Linked DNA regions of Oryctolagus cuniculus. The protein of the gene in region 4 interacts with the protein of the main gene of each other region in a pairwise test. Links are inferred from orthologs where the notes say so. Each region holds a gene or a part of one and is shown on either strand. Other genes may lie near its edges. The genes, in order: PKP2, IL16, QKI and DMRTB1.

Region 1 (3,564 bases), on a different chromosome or scaffold from region 4:
CAAACCCACACCTTCCAGGGCAGGGCATGGGCATCGTAACTGTCAGGCTAGCAGGAAGCTGGAATCAAACCCGCACCTTCCAGGGTAGGGCATGGGCATCGTAACTGTCAGGCTAGCAGGAAGCTGGAATCAAACCCACACGCTCCAGGGTAGGGCATGGGCATCGTAACTGTCAGGCTAGCAGGAAGCTGGAATCAAACCCACACGCTCCAGGGTAGGGCATGGGCATCGTAACTGTCAGGCTAGCAGGAAGCTGGAATCAAACCCGCACCTTCCAGGGTAGGGCATGGGCATCGTAACTGTCGGGCTAGCAGGAAGCTGGAATCAAACCCACACGCTCCAGGGTAGGGCATGGGCATCGTAACTGTCAGGCTAGCAGGAAGCTGGAATCAAACCCGCACCTTCCAGGGTAGGGCATGGGCATCGTAACTGTTAGGCTAGTAGGAAGCTGGAATCAAACCCGCACCTTCCAGGGTAGGGCATGGGCATCGTAACTGTCAGGCTAGCAGGAAGCTGGAATCAAACCCACACGCTCCAGGGTAGGGCATGGGCATCGTAACTGTTAGGCTAGCAGGAAGCTGGAATCAAACCCGCACCTTCCAGGGTAGGGCATGGGCATTGTAACTGTCGGGCTAGCAGGAAGCTGGAATCAAACCCACACCTTCCAGGGTAGGGCATGGGCATCGTAACTGTTAGGCTGAATACCTACTCTTGGTGTTGGAAGTCTTAGTTTTGATTAGTCTTGGGGTGCGGGTGGGGGAATGAGGCAGTAAGATTACCAAACACGAGGAAAAAGGTGGGAGGATAAAGGAGGTAGAAGGGGGGACACAGTGCCTTGCCCCCAGATGCCCAAAGAGGAGCATTTTAACGGCTCTGAGAGTCGTGCCGGTTGAGAATCCCTCTAAGGCCCCACAGAGCCGGTCAGCAGGTTGCCTCCTCCTCGCTGTTCTCGTGAGACCACCCAACCACAGAGAAGCAGTGATTCCACAGCAGCCGGCACTTGTAGGTCCAGGCGGCGTTTTTCTAATGCTCGTGTGTATTGCCAAATACCGCAGCCTGGCGCGAAGCTGATCCGTGTTTTCTTCGACCACACTGACCCACCTTGTTTATACAAGCGCTCTTATCTAGCACTGTGAGGCACAGTTATTTTTATTGCCTACACCTACTTGGTACAAGAAGCTTCTGATTTCCGGGGCTGGGAACAGTTCTCTGGCTTGAGAAACTCAGTGTCCTGACCCCTAAACCAAATTCTTCAACGCTGTAACAACCAAACAGGTTTGAATTTTTGTCAGTCCTCTCTCCCTTTCTCTTCGTTCTCTATTTTTTAAATCAACTTTCATTTTGAAAATGTTGCAGAGAATGTTTTGATAACTTTTTTGACCATTTGCCACATCCGAGGGTGGTGGTAAGAGCATTTAAAAACACTAATAAACACTTCTTTCCTAGTAGCCTTAATTGCTTAAATTTAATAATCCAGTCTACAGTTGTTATGCAGTGAGTTATTTCAGTGTTTGTTTCATTGTAGGAAATCTGCACCGAACCAGCAGTGTTCCCGAGTATGTCTACAACCTGCACTTGGTGGAAAATGATTTTGTTGGTGGACGGTCCCCTGTTACCAAGACCTACGACATGCTCAAGGTAGGAGACCCCACAAGGCAGGCTTTGTTATCAGATTGCCAGGAAAATGTTTTCAAGGAACTGTGTTGTGGTATAATGTGTTAAGCTTCTGTCTATAATGCCAGAATGCCTTATGGGCACCAGTTCCAGTCCTGGCTGCTCCACTTGGGATGCAGCTGTCTGCTAATGCCCCTGGGAAAGCAGTGGAGGGTGGCCCACGTGCCTGGGGCCCTGTCACCCACACGGGAGGTTACACTGGAGTTCCTGGCTTTCATCTGGCCCAGACCTGGCCTTTGCTGCCATTTTGGGAGTAAACCAGTGAGTCAGTGGATGGAAGATCCATCCCTCTCTCCTTTCCTCTTTGCTTGGACCCTTGTGGGAGACACACAAGAAGCTCCTGGCTCTTGGCTTTGGGCAGGTTCAGCCGCAGCCATTGTTGCCATTTTGGAGAATAAACCAGTAGATGGGAGCTCCCCCCACCCTCTCTCACTGTGCCTTTCAAATAAATAAAAATATTTAAGAGAAAACATTTTTTCAAACTTCGCTAGATTTTTTTAAAATGTTTCCCGTTCTTACATATTACCATTTCCTAAACGACTGTTGGGAACACTAATTTTGTGTGGACACCTTGGAAAAGTGAGGACTTTAAAGCGCTATTTATGGATTCTACTTGAAAGGCAGAGAGAGGGAGAATCTTTCATCTACTAGTTTTTCCCCCAAATGCGGGCAACAGCCAGGGTTGTGCCAGGCCAGGCCGGAGCCAGGACCCTGGACTCCATCTGGGTCTCGCTCGTGGGCAGCAGGGGCCGAGCACTTGAGAAATGACGCTGCAAACCAGGAAGCTGGCTCGCTCGTGGAGCCAGGAACCGCGTGGGCTGCGGGTGGCCCGAGCTCCCAGAAACGTCGTTAGGTCCTAATCCAGAAGTAGCGCGCAGGTTAGCCCAGGCGGGTTTGCGCAGGTTAGCCCAGGCGGGTTTCAGAGAAGGCTTTCCCCACCAAAGGGTGGGGGTTCTTAGGATCCAGGGGAAAGGCTTGGGGGGTGGTGGGGGGTAGCAGTGCGGGCGCTGCGCGGCGCGACACCTGCTCCTGTCCCGTTTCTCCCCAGGCCGGCACCACCGCCACGTTCGAGAGCCGCTGGCGCAGAGGGACGGCGCAGTACAGCTCGCAGAAGTCGGTGGAGGAGCGCTCGCTGAGGCAGCCCCTGAGGAGGCTGGAGGTGTCCCCCGACAGCAGCCCCGAGCGCCTGTACTACGCGCCCAGCGACTCCCAGCCCGGCGTGCGCGGCCGGCCCGGCCCGGCCCCGTGGCCCCCGGAGAGCGTGCGCTCCGTGCCGCAGGGCGCGCCCCGCTACGCGCGCTCCGAGATCGTGGGCCTGAGCCACGCGGGCGGCCGGCGGCGCCATTACGACACCTACCACAGACAGTACCAGTACGCGGCGCTGGACGGCGCGGCCCCCGGCCCGGCCCTGCTCACCTACCCGCGGCCCGCGACCAGTCACAGCATGGGCAACCTGCTGGAGAAGGAGAACTACCTGAGCTGGGCGCCGCGGCCCGTGCCGCTCGTGCAGCAGAGCAGGGCGGCCAGGGCCTCCTGGCACCAGAGCTCCTTCCAGAGCGCGCGCACGCTGAGGGAGGCCGGGCCCAGCGCCGCCCTGGACACCAGCGGCCGCAGGGTGCACCTGACGGCCGGCCAGGTGGCGGCCGGCGCCTTCCCCGACGGGCAGCTCGGGTGAGTCCCACGGAAACGCGCCGGGGCGGGAGGAGGGTTTTCAGACAGCTCCCTCACGGGTAGATGGGCCCGTGCGCGCCCAGGTGTGCGCCCCGCGGCCACAGGTGGTGGCTGTGTGGGGCCAGGGCGTGCTGTCCCCCCGTCCGCCGTTCTGTGCGCAGTGCTGACCGCCCGTGTCCTACCCCCGGGCTCCGGAGGTCCACGCTGATGCAGAGCGAA
Region 2 (4,064 bases), on a different chromosome or scaffold from region 4:
AGATAAAAACAAAAAAACCAGCTGCTCCACTGAACCAATCCAGTTTTCTCTCTGCTGGTGCACCATGCTGTACACCTGTTTTGTAAGCTGTTCTATTCATCTACAAGAGAACACAGGCAGCTTCCTGCGACAGTTAGTCTTCCTCTATGATTTTGTCTCAGTTTCTGCCACTCATGGCCTGTTCCTCCAGCTTATTTCCTAGTGTTGCTGCAGCTGGGGGTGACCGAATCCCAGGGCAGAGTCTGGTTCTTGTGCTCAGGGCACAGCCATGGCACCTGCTGTCGCATAGCCTGGGCTGGCACCAGGAAGCCCTCGCTCGGCACCCATCGCTGCCCTGGAGTGAGGGCCACTCTCGGGGAGTGTTCCAGCACCCTCATTACTTACCGCAGGTCTATTTGGGGACAGGGACAGTCACTGTGTGGCCCTGAGTGACAGAGTGACATCAGTCAGACAAGTTTCCACCCAAGAAGACCTGGGGCTCTTGGCAGGGACAGATGACCCAGGAACAAAGTCAGGGTTGCTGTCACTGGCTTCCCTAGTGAGTTTTTTTTTTCCTTTCTGTCTCCGCCCAAAGAGAGGCTCTCTCTTTCAGCCAATGTCCCACCACCATGTCCAGAAAGCCCCAGCACCCTTGTCACAGCACGGCTGTCACTCTTGCCTGGGTTCCAGCTCTGCCTGCCCACTCCTTCAGGCTTCTCCCGGTCTTTTCAGATTTATTGAACCCAGCAGCCCAATCGACCGTTTCAAATACTAGTGCTTCTTGTCCAAAAATAAAGTTTGCTGGAAGCAGAGGGCAGGCAGGGGGAAAGTGGGCAAAGCATGTCACAGCAGCGTCCGTCCGTCCATCCGTCCCCTCTCCTGGCCTCCCCTGCGCGCCCTGGCGAGGGGGTGGGGGCCCAGGCGCCTTCTGTGTGTCTGGCCCAAAGTCAGCCTCCACCTCCCACTGCCCTTCTCGGGACACAGGCTGCATTCACCAGCCGTCGCCCCGTCCACGCCCCAGGAAGATTTTATGAAAAGCGTGTTCACTCGGACTCCACAGGGGCTGTGTTTGTGTGTGGTGTGTGCGAGGGAGAGGATGAATCACTTCGATTCTGGGCAAGCAGCGGAGGTGTTGTGTTTGTCCCCTGCCATCGCAGAAACACCCCAGGATGCAGTTAAAAAAAAAAAAAAGGCAACACGTAGGGGTGGGGGGTGCCGAGACGGAGGGCTTGGCAGGGGTGGGACCAGGGAGTGGAAGGATGTCCACACAGAGCTCCGCGTCCCAGGGAAAGTCTGAGGTTTTGCATTTCTGTTTGTGGTGCAGGGAAGGGCTTGAGCCAGTGAAATAGCATCGCCTTTATACATATTGGCTTCCCAAGACGGGCAGGAGCTGGAAGCGGCCGTTGTGAAACGTTAAAGATTTTCTGGCAGAGAGAGAGGATTTTTTTTTTCTCCCTCTCTCCCTGCTGGGGAAAAACAGTTCTAACGAGGAGTTACTTTGTAGTTTTAAGTCATATTCAAATCCACCCCGTGCTAGGGGCTGCTGGGGATCCCCCCACGGCAGCTGGATCCTGGAGTGCGGGGACTGGACCGTGCCCGGCTGGGCATGAGTCTGCAGCGGAGGGTCTTCCCGAGAAGGGAGAACGGTAAGAACCGGGCGGGGAGGGGGCCCGGGGAGGTGGGACGCGGGGGTGGTGGTGGGGGCTCGCCTTGCCTCTCTGACCTCCTAACACAGGGGCGGGAGCCTGGCTTGCGGTGACCCCGTGGCGGGTGAGTGTGTGTGCGCACGTGTGAGTACGCGTGTGCACACGTGTGAGCCTGGGCGTGCACACGTGGGCGGTGCAGCAGGACCCGGCGGGCGGTGCGCGGAGGGCTGAGGAGCGCTCACCGCACAGGGTGGGGGGCAGTGGGGCCAAGGATCGGCACGGAGATGGGACAGCTTTCTAAGTGCCCTCACGTCCTCTTTGAGGGTGGCTGGCCACGCCCAGGGCCAGGGGAGACTCTTAATGATAGAGTTCTTGGGGTCCCCACCGGCTGAGCTCCGGTCAGTTGGAGGGGGGCTGTTCGGCTCCTGGAGGGGACAGAGTCGCGGAGCAGAGCTGGTGGTGGTGGGGGGAGCCCCTGGCTTCCAGCAGGTACGGACTGATAGATGAGGTCATTTCTCAGAACAGCCCCCTCCCACCGCCGCCACCACCACCAGCAGTCTTTCATTTTCGCTGGGAAACGTAAGCAGACATCAGGGCGAAGGATTTTAACCCTTTGGCGCAAGCTTTCAAGTCCACCCTGGCAAGACTTCAGTGCTGCTGTAACTTTGGCAATCGGGAATAAACACATGGTTTTCTTTAACAAGGAGAGAGAGGCAGAGTCAAAGGCACAGCCTGGCTTTCCAATCCAGGCAGATGCGGCGGGGGGCCACGGCGATCTGGGCCAGTGTCCAGCGGAGCCCCCCTGCGAACTGGGACGGGAGGCCGGCGAGGGGAGGGGGTGGCGCAGGGGACCCGGCTCTGGGACCCGCTGGCCGCTTCCTCTCGGGAGAGGAATTCAACCTCTCTGCGGCCACCATACATTCCCACCTGCCGGGAAGTCAGGAGCTGAAGGAACTGGTTTTTAGTTTTATTTATTTGAAAGGTAGAGGGATAGAAAGAGAGAGAGAGAGAGAAGAGAGAGGAGAGAGAGAGAGAATCTTTCACCCACTGGTTCACTCCCCAAGTGCCATCAACAGCCAAAGCCGGGAGCCAGGGACTCCATCTGGATCTCCCACGTGGGCAGCAGGAACCCAAATGCTTCAGCCCTTGCCTGCTGCCTCCCAGGGTGTGCATCAGCAGGGAGCTGGATCGGAAGCAGAGCCGATGACGTGGGAGGCGGGCGTCCCACGCGGCAGCTTAGCCCCTGCAGCACAGTGCTGTGAGCTCTCTTTCATGCCCAGGGAGGCCCTACAGGCCCTGAGCAGGTTTCCCAGATAGCAGGCAGGTGTGTGCATGGGGATTTCCCCGGAGGGTGCCAGCAAGGGGAGGGAGGCAGCACTGGACACGGGCAGTGGATCCAGCCAGCCCACGGGGCTCTGTGCCCCTGTGCCCGGGGGCTGGGGCTGAGGACGGTTCCTGGAGAGGTACTTGGTTTGGAGCTGTCCAGGGAGCCCTGGTGTCAGCTGTGGGAACCAGTGCCTTACCTAGTGCCTAGTGAGGTGGGCTCCCCTGGGCGCCCCCCTTCCAAATCCCACTCAATGCATTTCATCAGTGGGGTGGTGTGTTAGGTCACTGGCATTCCCCATGGACCCTGATTCGAGTCCCAGCTGCTCCGCTTTCTGATCTAATGCACCTGAGAAGGCAGCAGATGATGGCCCAAGTCCTTGGGCCCCTGGACCTGCGTGGGAGCCCTGGATGGAGTATTGAACTCCTGGCTTCAGTGTGGTCCAGCCCCTGGGTTGTGGCCATTTGGGTTGTGAACCACTTGATAGGCAACCTCTCTCTCTTCTCTTTTTCTCTCTCCCTCCTTTCCACCCTTTCTCTGTAACTGCCTTTCAAATAAATAAGTAAATATTGAAAAAAATGAATTTCACTGAATGCCTTCTTCTCTCTGAGTTCAGCTGTCAGGAGATCGGGCGTTAAATGTTTGGATAGACACCCGTCTGGTTAAACTGTTAGGCAGTTCCATGACCTTGGATATGCCGCCTCCCTAGGACTCAGCGTGCCCATCTGTAAAGTGGGTGGAAGCAGGGTGAACTGGAGATGCCTCCCGAACCCCTCCCGCTCTGCCATCGCACATGTGCAGGTTCTGAGCACTTGACCCTGGGACTGGGCGCGCCCCCCCAAAGGTCACAGGGCCACCAGTGCCACGGTTCCTGCCTCTGGGGGACCTTGTGACAGGGGCCAGCTGTCAGCAGGGAGGGGCTGGGCCTGTGGGAAGCAGAGGGAGGCCGTGCCTGGGGCTGGGCAGTGGGGAGGGGACTTTGAGGAGTGGGCTGATGCTCGCCGCTCCTCTACCCTGACATTCCTCTCCTGGCAAAGGTGACCCCCCACCCCCGAGACACCGCCATGTGTCTCTGATCCTTCAGACCCGTACGATGCCGTAGGATGCCGCTCAGG
Region 3 (3,564 bases), on a different chromosome or scaffold from region 4:
TATGCTATTTAATAGCACTTCTTTTGCAATTGTCTTTCTTATCCTTGACAACATTCTGTTTACGCCTAAGGAAATTGGAAATAATAACCTGCTTCTCAAACTGTTTCTCCTGATAATTTAGTGATACCTTATATAAAGTTTGTTTGTACTTAGAAGCTCTATAAAGGGTGGGATTTCATATGCAACTATTGTATCCTTAGCATCTGGCTCCATTCCTATACAGAGTAGGTGTTCAACAAGTGTTCATTATAGGATCTGTCATTTAACCTAGTAGTCTTATTCCCAAGCTGTGTGTGTGTGTGTGTGTGGTGGGGGGAGGGAAATAATTCATAAGGTTTGTAATGTTACCATGGCAACATAATGCAGTTATAGTTTCTTTAAAGAGAAAAATTTATAACACTGTATTTTGTAATTTTTTTAGGAGGAGCAAAATAGAGGCAAACCCAATTGGGAGCATCTAAATGAAGACTTACATGTTCTAATCACTGTGGAAGATGCTCAGAACAGAGCAGAAATCAAGCTGAAGAGAGCAGTCGAGGAAGTGAAGAAATTATTGGTACCTGCAGTAAGTAGTTATTTCCAAATCTTAAATTTCGGTCTCACTTCTCAGGGTTTTTTAAATTAATGGCTGTTTAGTCTAATGGAGAATAGGTTATCATTTTTTAAAAATTTATTTGACAGGTAGAGTTATAGACAGAGAGAGAGACAAAGAGAAAGATCTTCCTTCCGTTGGTTCACCCCCTAAATGGCCGCTACGGCCAGCACTGTGCCAATCTGAAGCCAGGAGCCAGGTGCTTCTTCCTGGTCTCCCATGCGGGTGCAGGGGCCCAAGTACTTGGGCCATCCTCCACTGCCCTCCCAGGCCACAGCAGAGAGCTGGCCTGGAAGAGGAGCAATCGGGACTAGAACTTGGTGCCCATATGGAATGCCCGTGCTGCAGGCGGAGGATTAACCTAGTGAGCCACGGCGCCGGCCCTGAATAGGTTATCATTTAACCACAAAATATAAAAATAATTTATAGCTCATTTAGTGCTAGTCTAATGGGCAAACCATAGACATTGCTGACATTCTTAACTGGGAAAGCCTTTTCATGTGTGTATATATATATATATATACACACACACACACACACACACACACACACATATATATATGTATTTAAGATTTATTTATTTATTTGAAAGGCAGAGTTACACAGAGAGAGGAGAGAGAGAGAGGTCTTCCATCTGCTGGTTCACTCCCCAGTTGGCCGCAATGGCCAGAGCTGCGCCAATCTGAAGTCAGGAGCCAGGAGCTTCTTCCGGGTCTCCCACCTGGGTGCAGGGGCCCAAGGACTTGGGCCATCTTCTACTGCTTTCCCAGACCACAGCAGAGAGCTGGATTGGAATTGGAGTAGCCAGGTCTCGACCCGGCGCCCATGTGGGATGCTGGTGCTTCAGGCCAGGGCGTTAACCCACTGTGCCACAGCGCTGGCCCCCATTTTCCCATAAATTTTTGTAAAGAAGTTATGCAGGAAGTAGCAGACACAATATGACTTCTCAAAAATGCTGTCTTTTGAATCACTATATTTACGAGGAGAATGTAGGCACAGCATCAGCAAGGTAATGAAAGCTGTTCTTTTTCAAAAGCTGTTTCTTATTGTGAACAAGTAGTAAGTTTGTAGATGTCTCTACCACTAACTTTTATGCAAGGTAGGTGGGATGTGTTAGTAGGAGCATGTAATTTGAATTGTCTATGAGTGACAGGTACTCGGGGTAGCATCTCATTATCTCTTATAGAAAGATTAGTGAACATTAATTGAAACTTTCCCTTAATGTAATAAAAAGTCATCTTAATAAACTTAAACGATAGCTTTTACTAATGTAAAGCATGATTCAGAGCAGCTTTTTAACTTTACTATTATTTCTATGATCATAAAACTATTGTATTTCATATTTAGAGGTCGTAAATAGGATATTGAATGCTTTTTGAGGGTGACATCTCGTAAGAAATTACTCAGACACAATTTTGTGTTCTCTTCTTTCCCTCCATTCCATTTTCTTTACTCTTCTCCCTTTGGGTGTGCTTCTCATTAATAGGTAACCCTTTAGTAATTTTTAAAATGGCGATTACAACTATTACTAGACTATTATCTTTTTCAACAGGAAGTGAAAATTACTGGTTTTCTGAGTCACTATTAAATTTTGTTTTACAATAGTAAGAATACATGGAAGGATAGACCCTAATTGCCATTGAAAAACTAATAACACTGTTAGTACTTTGCCCACCAAAAATGTATTAACATTGACATAAATGAATATGGCATCTGCTGTTTTTATTTTCCAGATAGTCTAATCTTTATTACCCTGCTAGTGTCTTCTAAAAGTAAACTCACCAATTATATACACTTTCCATTAACTTTACAAAATTAATTCCTTGGAAGGAAAAATTTCATTTAAGTTCTGTTGACCTTATAAGGAATACAAATAAGTAGGTTGAGCATAAATTAGAATTTCTGTTTGCCCACTATTATACCATGTAATTGTATAACTTTTCTTTAATAAATGTGTTGTATTCAGTAAGCTATATAAAAAAATTTTTGTAAGCATATTGGGCTATTAGTTCCACCTGGATGTGTAAGTAGGAGAAATTTCCAACTTATTTGTATCTGTTTATGTGTTTATAAAGTGAGAGTCATAGCAATCAATCTCCAAAGAACTTTTTGTTTTACATTTATTTATTTTAAAGATTTATTTATTCGAAAGTCAGAGTTACGGAGAGAGAGAGAGAGAGAGAGATATCTTCCACCCAATGGTTCACTTTCCAATTGGCCGCACTGGCCGGAGCTGTGCCGATCTGAAGCTAGGAATCAGGAGCTGCTTCTGAGCCTCTTACACGGGTGCAGGAGCCCAAAGACTTGGACCATCTTCTGCTGCTTTCCCAGGCCATAGCAGAGAGCTGGGTCAGAAGTGGAGCAGCTGGGTCTCAAACCAGCTCCCATATGGGATGCTGGCGCTACAGGCCAGGGTGTTAACCAGCTGCGTCACAGGGCTGGCCCCAGAACTTTTTGTTTTAAAAGTGGTTTGTCTTTGAATATGAAAAGGTGGTAGGGTAGTTCATAAAAAGAATGACAGAAACTTTAAAAAGCTTAATTTATGTCCTGAAGGAGAAAATTTCACTTTTGATGATAAACCTATTTATCTTCTATAGAAGAATTTAGTATTGTTATTGAACAGATTGTAACAATTTTAAATTGTGCTTTTTGAAATTACTTACAGTGAGGTAATAAAACTTTCTTAGAATTATAAATCATAGGATAAAAAGTACAGACTTTTTGGTTTGGCTTCTATCCAGTGATTTAACACTTGCAGTAATTTCTTATTTATTTTATTGAATATGTTTATTATGACATGAATACTGTATTAGAGAATTTGTTTTAATTAAGGTGAACATTATTAAATATTTGGTGATACCAGGGTTAAGCAGAAATTTAAACAAAACAAAACCTCTCCATAATTGATAATTACTGTCTTTGTAAAAGTTAACCCCATTGTCGTCTTAGGAGAAACATGTTTGCTTTAGACT
Region 4 (3,511 bases):
CTATAAGATACTGTCAAGTTCAAGTTGTTAAAGCGTTCTTAGGGACAGCAGTGAAGATGCTGCTTGGGATGCCTGTGTCACATAACTGGAGGGCCTGTCCCGAGCGAGTCTGCTCCCCATTCTAGCTGCCTGCCCAGAGCACCGGGGGTGGGGTGGGAGGGGCAGCACATGATGGAGGACTTGCACCTGCACCACCCACTCAGAGACCCAGGCTGAGTCTCAGGCTCCTGCCTTGACTGGACCCAGCCCTGGCCGCTGTGGGCATTTGAGGAGTGACCCAGTGGATAGGAGATCTGTCTCTATTTCTCTCTCTCTCTGTCTTTGAAAAGTATTTTTTAAAAAGTGAAAATAAATTAGAGGATTCCTTGTTTTAAAAAACCATTCTCAGAGCAGTGCTATGGCGTAATGGGTAAAGCCACCACCTGCAGTACAGGCATTCCATTTAGGTGCCAGTTCAAATCCCAGCTACTCCATTTCCTGTCTGGCATTCTGCTATGGCCTGGGAAAGCAGTAGAAGATGGCCCAAGCCCTTGGGCCCCACACCCACATGGGAGACCTGGAAGAAGCTCCTATTGGCTTCAGATCAGTCCAGCTCCAGCTGTTGCAGCCATCTGGAGAGTGAACCAGCAGATGGAAGACCTCTCTCTCTGCCTTTCAAATAAATAAATAAATCTTAAAAAAAAAAAGTTCTCAGACAAGTGAGTCTGAAGAACTCCCACACTGTTTGCCACACTTGAGGGTCTCACAGGAGCCTATTAAAGGCTCTGAGGTTTGCAAACATCTCCTTCGATTACGCCAATGCTTCCTGATTTTGACCACAGGGAAGCACCGAAAGTCCACTCTTAAACACCTACTGCGTGCCAGACCCTGCATTAGGCGTCTTCAGGTGTCACACCTTGGTTAATCAGTATCACAGAGAGACGGGTGCTCCCACCCATCCCACAGAGGGCAGGGAGCATCCCCAGGTCCCAGGGCTGGTGGACAGGGAGGGGGGACTGACCCTGGGGCTGTCCAGCTCCAGGGCTGTGCTCTGCTGTGGAGAGGAGCCCAGAGGGAGCGCAGCGATACGCAGGGCAGGGATGGGCCCAGGGACAGGGACGGGGCGGAGGCAAGGACAGGACAGGATGAGAGGAACTCCTGGGCTCTCGGGTTTGAAACAGCCTCGCGAATAAAGGCCTGATCCTCTCTCCAGACGTGAGGGGGAGGGAGGGTGGATCATTAGAGCTTTAATTCCAAGCTGCTCAGCCAAGTCTACCCCTCCCCGGATCACAGCTCCTGTCTGGGCCTGTGGCAGCAGCTCGGGGCCAGATAACCAGCTGGGATCACACTCGGAACGAGGGCGTCTGGCAGGCCTGTCAATCACAGCCCGCCCTGGACTCCAGGCCTGGGCTTCTGTGGGAGCAGCTGGTGCGGGCCCCACTTGGCCTGAGCCCTCTCTGTGTGGAGGCCAGAGACCCCTTGCTTTCCCTGGCCTGCAATGGGGCGGCTGAAGGAGTGCCCACAGGTTTCAGTGGTGCTGAGGATGCAGGGCCACGCTTGCCCACCTCTGCGTGAGACATGTTTGGGGCAGAAGAGAGCCCAGTGCCAGAGTCAGGGTGACCAGGGACGCATCCTGGCTCGTCACCAGCCAGCCGTGTCGTGTGAATCCCAGTCCCTCACCCCCCAGTTCCACGACCTTGGACAGAAACTTAACTTGTCCGAACCTTTTCTGGCAACTCTGCCATGGGGTGCCGACACCCACCTTGAAGGCTCGTAAAAGGGCCGGCCGGCGCCCAGGGAATGATCAAGACCAGCGGTTGTCAAACGTTTTCCCCTCGAATCAATGGGAAACGAGTGCTAAGTCAAACTCCAGGATACCGGAAGCAGCCAGAGGAGACGCTGGGGTGGAGCTGGAGCGAGCGCACTGCCCTGGGAGCCTGGAGGGTGGGCAAGGCGGCGACCCCAGGGACCCCTCCAAGCTCTGTGGCAGTGACTTCCTTCCTCAAATGCCAAGCTTGCCTCTCCTGAATCCTGCTCCTCACTCCTCTCCCCCTCCCCTGCAGGGGCAGTGTCAGTGGTCCCTGTTCCCACCAACCGCTCTGTCCCACAGGCCCAGGAAGCCACAGTCAGTCCTGGCCTCTGGGCATGCTGCAGCCCTGCAGGTCCTCTGAGATGGCCGAATCGGAGTGGCCTGGAAACCACCCTGGCCTGGGAGCAGCCGGCACCCGAGGCCGCGGAACCTGGCCATTCCTGCCGCGTGCTCCACACAGCAGGGCTGAGCCCCTTCTCACACGCGTGCGGTTCGGAAGCCCAGGCTCCAAGAGAGCACCTGGTACCCGCGTCCGTCCCCCTGGTAAGAGGACTGTATCTCACTCCTATCTGCAGGAGGAAGGTTTTCAGAATTTTCAGCTCAAATGCCACCTCTTCCTGAATGTCCTCCGAGGTTTCAGCTGGGCTCTCTCCCTGTGTTCAGAGGACCTATGTCTGGTCCTGGCTCTGCCTTAAACCTTGTAGTCCCAGGGAAGTGACGTCTGTCCCTGGTGCCCAGCAAAGTGAAGAGCTTTTCCACCCTCAGTGCTCAACCAGGCAGGGCTTGTGGTCACCCAAGTGCCCAGAGCAAGCACCTGCCACAGCCCGGGCCAAGTGGCCTGGAAGTGTCCACACATGCGCTCTCAGAGACACCCACTGCACTCACATGCTCAGGGCTGTGTCCCTCCTGCTGGTACGGGAGCTCGGCACGAGTGGCCGCCCCGGTGATGACTTAGGATCTATAAGGGCAAGGGCAGCTGGGGTAGGAGGCCCTGGAAGGCAGCCAGGAACAGGACTCACCAAGCTGCCTCCGTGATACTGGGTGCAGGAGATGTGCCGGAAGCCGGTCTGCAGCGGGATCCCAGGGGGCGGGGCCACATCCTGGTAGCCCAGCGGGAACGGGCAGTAGGCATGCATGCTCGGGTACAGCTTGGAAGGCTCTCGCTCCAGGTACTCGGCCCCCATGGCACGATCCAAGCTGAAGTTCACAGGGAGCCCTGAAGAAGGCGGGCAGCAAGGCAGGTGTTAGAAACGCAGAGCTGGGCTCGGCCCATCACGCTGCTGCCCCGGGGCAGCCATACAGCCATGCTCGGATCCACTTACAGGGCTCCGGCACCCATCGGGCTTTTGACCTCCCCACTTTGGGCCCCTTCAGCTCCACCCAGGGGCTCTTAGAAGACGCTTCAGCACAGCCATGGAACCCCCAAGGCTGGCGCCGGCCACCAACTACAGCCTCATCACGTCCCCAGGCAGAGCGGCCACAATGAGGCCCTGGCAGACGCTGCCCCCTCAGCTCCACTCCCACTCTGCCTGCAGAGGTGTTCGGCCCAGGCTGTCCCTGACGGGCGAGGGGCCCACTGAGGATTCTTCAACCTTCTGAGGGTGGGAAAGTAATGTGCACTTGGTAGAAACCGCCTGTCAGGGCTGAGCTTTCCCAGGCGAGCTGAGCCCTGCCGGAGCACCGGCTCAGCGCCACGATGCCGAGGGAAACACCCGGCGCGTC

What was found.
Region 1: the proteins of DMRTB1 (region 4) and PKP2 interact in a two-hybrid assay, tested with the Homo sapiens proteins (2 studies listed by BioGRID). The link is inferred for Oryctolagus cuniculus from reciprocal best matches to the Homo sapiens genes DMRTB1 and PKP2.
Region 2: the proteins of DMRTB1 (region 4) and IL16 interact in a two-hybrid assay, tested with the Homo sapiens proteins (2 studies listed by BioGRID). The two-hybrid records come from large-scale screens. The link is inferred for Oryctolagus cuniculus from reciprocal best matches to the Homo sapiens genes DMRTB1 and IL16.
Region 3: the proteins of DMRTB1 (region 4) and QKI interact in a two-hybrid assay, tested with the Homo sapiens proteins (2 studies listed by BioGRID). The link is inferred for Oryctolagus cuniculus from reciprocal best matches to the Homo sapiens genes DMRTB1 and QKI.

The regions. Positions count from the first base shown.
Region 1 is NC_091440.1:128,925,711-128,929,274, reverse strand, and holds part of PKP2 (plakophilin-2), read left to right. Parts: intron 1-1,525; coding exon 1,526-1,638; intron 1,639-2,722; coding exon 2,723-3,345; intron 3,346-3,564. UniProt on the Homo sapiens protein: A component of desmosome cell-cell junctions which are required for positive regulation of cellular adhesion.
Region 2 is NC_091443.1:104,003,339-104,007,402, reverse strand, and holds the start of IL16 (pro-interleukin-16), read left to right. Parts: upstream 1-1,204; 5' UTR 1,205-1,585; coding exon 1,586-1,625; intron 1,626-4,064. UniProt on the Homo sapiens protein: Interleukin-16 stimulates a migratory response in CD4+ lymphocytes, monocytes, and eosinophils. Primes CD4+ T-cells for IL-2 and IL-15 responsiveness. Also induces T-lymphocyte expression of interleukin 2 receptor. Ligand for CD4.
Region 3 is NC_091436.1:5,210,446-5,214,009, reverse strand, and holds part of QKI (KH domain-containing RNA-binding protein QKI), read left to right. Parts: intron 1-421; coding exon 422-565; intron 566-3,564. UniProt on the Homo sapiens protein: RNA reader protein, which recognizes and binds specific RNAs, thereby regulating RNA metabolic processes, such as pre-mRNA splicing, circular RNA (circRNA) formation, mRNA export, mRNA stability and/or translation.
Region 4 is NC_091438.1:119,536,272-119,539,782, forward strand, and holds part of DMRTB1 (doublesex- and mab-3-related transcription factor B1), read right to left. Parts: intron 3,006-3,511; coding exon 2,809-3,005; intron 1-2,808.